Linked DNA regions of Yarrowia lipolytica. Each later gene encodes a partner of the first gene's protein in a complex. Links are inferred from orthologs where the notes say so. Each region holds a gene or a part of one and is shown in the gene's direction. Other genes may lie near its edges.

The links.
Region 2: YALI1_F13046g (region 1) and YALI1_F28212g share a complex: the UniProt entries of both Saccharomyces cerevisiae proteins name them as parts of the EKC/KEOPS complex. The link is inferred for Yarrowia lipolytica from reciprocal best matches to the Saccharomyces cerevisiae genes BUD32 and PCC1.
Region 3: the proteins of YALI1_F13046g (region 1) and YALI1_E02372g are in contact, whole or in part, in a crystal structure (PDB 4WW7), measured with the Saccharomyces cerevisiae proteins. The link is inferred for Yarrowia lipolytica from reciprocal best matches to the Saccharomyces cerevisiae genes BUD32 and CGI121. Residues at the interface, in NP_011778.1 of Saccharomyces cerevisiae: Tyr12, Leu13, Thr14, Asp16, Val17, Thr35, His36, Pro37, Tyr38, Leu39, Pro40, Ser77, Arg78, Ala81, Tyr84, Leu85, Pro87, Val91, Pro92, Gln93, Leu94, Ile95, Ala96, Cys97, Asp98, Pro99, Tyr100, Asn101, Trp105, Glu107; in NP_013676.2 of Saccharomyces cerevisiae: Ser4, Ile6, Pro7, Gln8, Pro10, Gly50, Glu51, Tyr54, Ser55, Tyr58, Lys59, Ile62, Glu63, Tyr66, Asn67, Asp159, Phe160, Gly167, Arg170, Ala171, Val173, Asp174, Gln177, Leu178.

Annotation. Positions count from the first base shown.
Region 1 is NC_090775.1:1,303,819-1,306,016, forward strand, and holds YALI1_F13046g (uncharacterized protein), read left to right. Parts: upstream 1-853; coding exon 854-1,600; downstream 1,601-2,198. Other genes in the region: YALI1_F13039g (uncharacterized protein), read right to left, coding at 1-161; YALI1_F13072g (uncharacterized protein), read right to left, coding at 1,777-2,198. UniProt on the Saccharomyces cerevisiae protein: Component of the EKC/KEOPS complex that is required for the formation of a threonylcarbamoyl group on adenosine at position 37 (t(6)A37) in tRNAs that read codons beginning with adenine.
Region 2 is NC_090775.1:2,820,320-2,822,756, reverse strand, and holds YALI1_F28212g (uncharacterized protein), read left to right. Parts: upstream 1-1,440; coding exon 1,441-1,460; intron 1,461-1,518; coding exon 1,519-1,765; downstream 1,766-2,437. Other genes in the region: YALI1_F28222g (uncharacterized protein), read right to left, coding at 1-491. UniProt on the Saccharomyces cerevisiae protein: Component of the EKC/KEOPS complex that is required for the formation of a threonylcarbamoyl group on adenosine at position 37 (t(6)A37) in tRNAs that read codons beginning with adenine.
Region 3 is NC_090774.1:236,077-238,065, reverse strand, and holds YALI1_E02372g (uncharacterized protein), read left to right. Parts: upstream 1-819; coding exon 820-1,329; downstream 1,330-1,989. Other genes in the region: YALI1_E02377g (uncharacterized protein), read right to left, coding at 1-347; YALI1_E02355g (uncharacterized protein), read right to left, coding at 1,523-1,989. UniProt on the Saccharomyces cerevisiae protein: Component of the EKC/KEOPS complex that is required for the formation of a threonylcarbamoyl group on adenosine at position 37 (t(6)A37) in tRNAs that read codons beginning with adenine.

The DNA of each region.
Region 1 (2,198 bases):
CCATCCACCTCGTTGGCAATGTGTGTTTTGAGAGATTCGATTCCGACCGGAGAATGCTGCAGAAGAGGCACAAAAACAGCATTGTGACCCTTCTGCTCGACAAACAGCTCCTGGTAGAAATCTCGCGGCGTCGTAGGGTTCTTGAGCAGTAGGATGTTCATGATTTCCCGGGGTTGCGTGTAGCTGTAGAGAGATAGAGCTGAGTCAGATCTGGGGTCTGCATGCTGATGATCTCAAGTCACGTGATACAAATCTACGTATATCTGGAGATGGTGGATTGTGGGCGAAAAACGAAAGGGGAAATGGGCTAAGAGCACGCTGTTGCTCCTTAGGACATTTTTCACCGTTCTATGAAACTGGACATTGTCATTGGATGGTGGAAAGTGTGTGTACAATGTTAGGGTGAAACTTCTGATTCTTGTAGCACTTTTGGGAACAGGAGAGGCACTGAAAGATGGTATATTTGGCTGTGAAGACCTATTAGTGAATACATGATCATATTGGATATATCATTCTGATTCGATTAATGTTGAAAAACAGTCATTTTGAGGCTTCTTCACACCCAAATAGTTGTTGTCGTCAGGAGAAAAATGGTCAACTAAACTCAAGTATATTATAGAGTAACTTCAAGTAAGAACATGTCCACTCCATATATCCCCCTGGGGAGATAAATAATACAATAAAACCTGATGATATCAAAAAATCCAACATTACCTATATCCATTTGCAACTCTTCTCTCATCTCCCCTATACCCCATTTTACACCGGTCTAAATTCTCTCTGATCACATGACTGGAAATAAATTGTATCAAGCTGCATATCGTCTCCTAGCCTTAACCACCACCACCACATCATGATCACACTTCCAGAGCAGCTGGAGAAGCTGTCCAAGCAGGAAAATCTCATTGCACAAGGCGCTGAGTCGTTGGTGTATTCCGCCCAGCACCCCTACCTCCCCCAACAAGAATGCATCGTTAAATACAGACCCAAGAAGCCATATCGTCTTCCGGAACTTGATGCCCAGCTCAGCAAACACAGAACGCTGGCCGAGGCCCGGGTGTTGCAGAAGCTGGCTCTTGGAGACGTGGAAGTGCCCCATCTGGTCTTCATCGATGCCAAAAACGGACTCATCTACATGGAGAAGATCGAAGGTCTGAGTGTGAAGCAGTGGATCTGGAACGAGGAGGGAGACACCGAAGGAGGGGCCCAGGAGGCCGGAGATAAGAGCAGATCGTTACCGGATGGTGACGTGTCTTCTCTGAAGGACACCCTGGTTCTTGTCGGCCAAGAAATCGGCAAGTTGCATAAATCTGACATTGTCCATGGCGATCTGACCACTTCGAACGTCATGTTGAGAGACGGCAAGCCTGTCATCATCGACTTTGGACTCGCTTCCGTGTCCACTCTGGCCGAAGATAAGGCTGTGGATCTATATGTCATGGAGCGAGCCGTTCTCAGTACTCATCCTGTCCACAGTCAACAGTACTGCGACTGGTTGTTTGAAGGATACCTGGCTGTTGTCGGCAAGAGTCAGAAAGAGGTGATGCGAAAACTGGAGGATGTTCGACAGCGAGGACGAAAGCGGTCCATGCTAGGTTGAAGTGACGACTGCGTAATGAATTATGTACGAAAATCACAACAAAACCATACCTAACATGAATATTGATTGTATATCAGATATTGTACCATCGAAAGATGTTCGGAATTAGCATTCACACACTGCACAGACACATCGTCTTCCCGCTATTAGGTAATATACATTATGCTATAAGTTATCTACAACAATCCCTGACGCTTGAGATCCTCGTAGGTCTTCTCACTCATGGCGTTTCCATCGCTATCCTCCACCTCGACAATGTTTTCTTCTCGAGTCTCCACCGTCTTGAGCTGTTTCTTCATTCGGTCCCACAATGCATTGGCCTCCTCAATCTTGGTGATGCCTTTAAATGCCTGAGACGGCTCGATACCAAGACATCGGAGTCCAAAGATGTGTCTGGGTGTGGAAAAGTGCTTGTCAAAGATCTTTCGGCCCCGGTAGGTGGTATTTCCACAGATCTCACATGTGTACTCAATTCCCAAACCATGCAACTTATACAGCCAGAAAGGAATGGGTTTTCCGTCCCACCCAAGAGGCAGCTTGAGAGGGTTGGAGATGACCTCATCTTCGTCTTCGTCATCTTCATCTCCAGTCTTTTGTT
Region 2 (2,437 bases), about 1.5 Mb from region 1:
TTGACGACTTCATTGATTTCGGTGGAGTCGTCCTCAAGACTGTCACCTCTACCCTTGACATCATCACTCACCCCGACAAGTCCAAGGGCACCGTCTACGACAACCTGCAGAAGGGTGTCACCCAGATCAACAACCTCTTCCCCACTCTGATTGACGACCTCAAGACTCTGCCCATTGTCGGTGACGTCGCCAAGACCCTTGGCCCTCTCATCATCAACCCCCTTTCCGAGGGCTTCGCCAAGGTGATGCAGCAGATTGCCATCACTATTATCTCTCTGTTCACTGACGGTCCCATCTCCACTATTGGTGACGTCTTCAGGAGCCTCTTCGGCAACTTCCTTGACTTTATCAAGCAGTTCATTGGCTCTATTGCCAACCTCTTCCCCTGGATGCACTCCGAGACTTCTTCCATGAAGTCCGCCTCTAACCGACTTGATCAGGCTTACTTCTCTGCCGCTAACAACTAAGCGACAGATACCCGACGATTCCATTAATTTAATTTATAACTCTACTTCTTACTCTCGGATGCTCGTAGATAATGTAGAAGTATCTACTGTGCAACCCTACTCTGTTTAGATCGACAAACGAGTCAAATAACATGAAGATCAGATGACTACGCCGCGCAAGGCTGTCCCTGAGAGACCGAGGGTGACTTGTATGAAATGGGGACAAAGTGTCCGTTTCTTGTATACTAGTACGAGTACTCGTAATTGAGCAGTTTCAGTGTCTGTTCAATGTCGAGCATCTCTCAGCCGACAACGAAACCTTCGTCTCGTATCATACGACCGAATCGGGGTTTCTGAAAGGCCTAAACTCTGCTGCAATTTGGTGAAAAATACATTTATTATGTATGTACTACATCAGCGGGCTTTACAAGGTGGTTTCTTGTAGAGTCTCTACGAAACAGCTTGTTACAGTACCCTTACAGTATCTCGTTGAAAGCCATTTTTTATCTCTCGTAAGAGTACTCAGAGAAGAAACCATTTATATGCCTCTGGTTGCAAGCCTCACAATGCAATGACAGTATTGCTCTATTGCTCTTGTTTCTCTCAGCTACAAGTACCGGTACCCAGGCAAGGACTCTTCCAAGAGACGATCCCCAAGTATCCCCGGATATCAAGTTTACCAAAAGTCTACAGCCGGTTTTAAAGGTCCGAAAGCAAGCGTAAGACTATTGGGGGTGATAAGAGCACGTGGAAGCTCATAGGCTTCAAGTTTTATAAATCGAACGACTCACACTTGGAGCACATGATTGGATTAGTAATATGCAATGAAATATCCATTTCAACGGCTCTCGTATTGTTCTCTGATCTATCCATCTTATTCCACATTTAATCACATTTAATCACATTTAATCACATTTAATCACATCTTAGTCACAATCCAACAAAGTTCAGGACCTACATGCAACCGTAGAAACGTTTCACACCAATATCAACCATGCCAGGCAAATACACACTGTGAGTAGGAGAATGTGGGGGAAGCCACAACACTCGCTTTGGACACGAACTAACACAGTGACGTGGAGATTCCGTTCCCCAATGACAGACAGGCTCAGATTGTCTGCACCACAATATCTCAGGACAAGCCTCTCAAGGCCGACGAGCTGAGCCATGAGTTGACCACCAAGGGTTCCAGTCTGTTGATTCATTTTGCCGCTGCATCTAACCGGTCTTTGCGAGTCGGTGTCAACAACATGATGGACAACATTGGCACTGCCATTGAGTGTTTGGACGAGCTGGATCTCGACAAGTTTGGACCATAAGTGAGAGATAGCGAGTGAAGATGGAGGGCACTTATGAGGCCGCAGGAGGGGCACGGCGGTGTCAAGCTGGCATACTGGCACCTCAATATCTGGACAGAGTGTGATCATTTCCCTAGCAACTGATTAGTCATCACACAAACGCCGATGTCTGAATAAATTTCCCTAGATTTGCAGCAGTTGTAACTGTCCCTGGACGGCACCAGAGGCAAACCTGCGAACCAGAAAAGGCAAACGTGTAAAACCAATAAACATCAAATAATCAGCTAGTTCGGGTGTGATATCAAGGACCAATGGTGTAGAACCGTTAACAAAAACAAGTACAGGTATGTCGTGTGTGAGTGAGCATTGTCATGTTGCATGCCACCTGAGATAGGTGAGGAAGACGCAGATCTCATTGCAGCCATGTCTCAAGAACTGATCAGACAGGGAGGCCATTCTTGTTACTCATTTTAAAGCATAATGACCAACGCCGTCTCCAAGACTAATTGAGATTGTTACTGTAGACTAATTTACGGTGGCAATTTCACAGAAATTACGGCCTTCCCTTTGTGGGCGTCCCAACTGACTAAGCAATCGTAAGCGCAGTTGTGTATGTAATCCTAACTAAGGTAATTTATATCACTCAGCATACGTACATTACGACCAGCAGCAGCCAAGACGGAAATATTGCAC
Region 3 (1,989 bases), on another chromosome or scaffold:
TCCCAGTTGAGATCGTTGATTCGACCATTGCCGATCTTGGCTTCGTACTTGATGTTGAAAGAGACAGGGTCCCAGACCTTGACGTTGCCAGCCTGATCGCCGGAGCAGACATAGAAGCCTGAAGGAGAGAACTTGGCGACGGTGGTTGGCGCAATGTGGCCATTGAACTGCCGAGCCTCGTTGGGCTTGTCGAGATTCACCAGAAGCACTGCCTTGGTGTTGGCGTAAGCCACCTCGTTGGTCTTGGGGTTGTAGGAGAGATGCACGGCAACTCCCTTGGTGGTGGCCGGAGAAGCCACGGAGGTTTTAACTGGCGTTAGTGGGCTTCTTACGGGGATCTCTGGCATACTCACCTGGAGAAATCATTATACAATTGGTGCTGAGGTGTTTAGATGGATGCTGTTTATGTATCCAACTGGGAGATGTATGCAGCACCGAAGATAGAGTTATTAATAGGAGAGTGAAGGAGTGGTGGCAGGATGATTGTACATTACGTACTTGTACAAGTAGAATGATACCTGTCAATAGTTGAGGCAAATTTTGAAATTTGTGCTGCTTAATAAATCAACTGGAATGTTTCATAAACAATCGCTGTCTGTAGAACCCCTTCTTTCACAATACAGCACATATATCCCACGTACCAACCACCGTCTTACTTGTGGTAAGACCTCCGAAGTTTATCTTCCACCATCTGCAGGAAAATCCTACGAGTACCAGTATCTGGAATCCACACAGCTGAGTATCAAATTCCAGACTATCCTATACCCGAACTCTTCAAAAGCATTACGTTAGTCAGATCGTGTGATTCACTGCCACAACATGAAGTTTCCCCAGTTCGACCAGGAGATTGCCATCTCCTACTTTTCAGACGTCAAGAATGCCGGCCAGATTCGAAACGAGCTGTTAAGCGGTAACCCCGACTACCAGGTGGCTTTCATTAATGCCAACACATTGCTTTCGTCCAAGCATCTGCTCGCAGCCGTCTACAGAGCCGTTTCCGATCAGGAAGCCGGCTCCATGAAGACAAAAAACGTACACTCAGAGGTGCTGTTCTGTCTGGGAGGGAATAACAACATCATGGACTCTCTAAGGAGATTTGGAATTCAGGACGATACCACAAACATTGTGGCTGTCAAGATTGGCGGAGGAGAGTACACGAAGCTGGTTGAGGGAACCGAAGAGCCCTTTACTGACGAGCAGATTGCCAAGAACACAGATATCAAGCTCGTCAAGAAGGTATACAAGTTACCAGGAACAGTCTCTCTAGATGATAGAGCTCAGGTGGAGACTGCAGCCATTGGAGCTCTTCTGCTACGTGGATTCAGCTAGATGGAGCCGCGGACGGTCGTATTTATGAAAACAAACTTGGGCAACCATAACAAATGCATTGTATAAACACCATTCTATTAGCTGATTACTGTACAGGTACCGTGGCTATAAGTACAATTACCTGCTACAAGTAGTATACACAAGTCATAAATACTTCATTGTTGTTCAAATATAATGCATATAAATACTGTTGTTATACCGTGGATTCCACCTTGACCTGTATCGATGGCTCTTCCAGCTTGACCGGGTCTTCTTCTGTCTTGACAGGTACTGCTGTGCCGTTGCTGTTGCCATTCTCTTCAGCCAACAGCTCGGTCTGAACATCCACACCTAGACCAAAAAAGGCCTGTTGGAGAATTCTTGCGTATGCTGCCTTGAGAGTGAAACCTCCGGCCTGATGCTGAATGTCATGGGCCAGAGGCTCGATGACCTTGTCGTCGTAATGGTCCTGTACCTCAAACAGCGCGGGAATCTGCCTGTCACCGTTGAAGGGTGTGAAGGGCGTCTCGGGCTTCGAGCTTTCCTTCTTGACCTTCTCAAAGTACCGAGATGTAGGCATGGGTTGGAAGTTGACTGTTCGAGCTGAGGATCGTTTGAGAGCTGTCTTCTGGACATTCTGCTCGATGGAAGAGGCATCCTTGTTGGAAGTGGCGAGCTGAT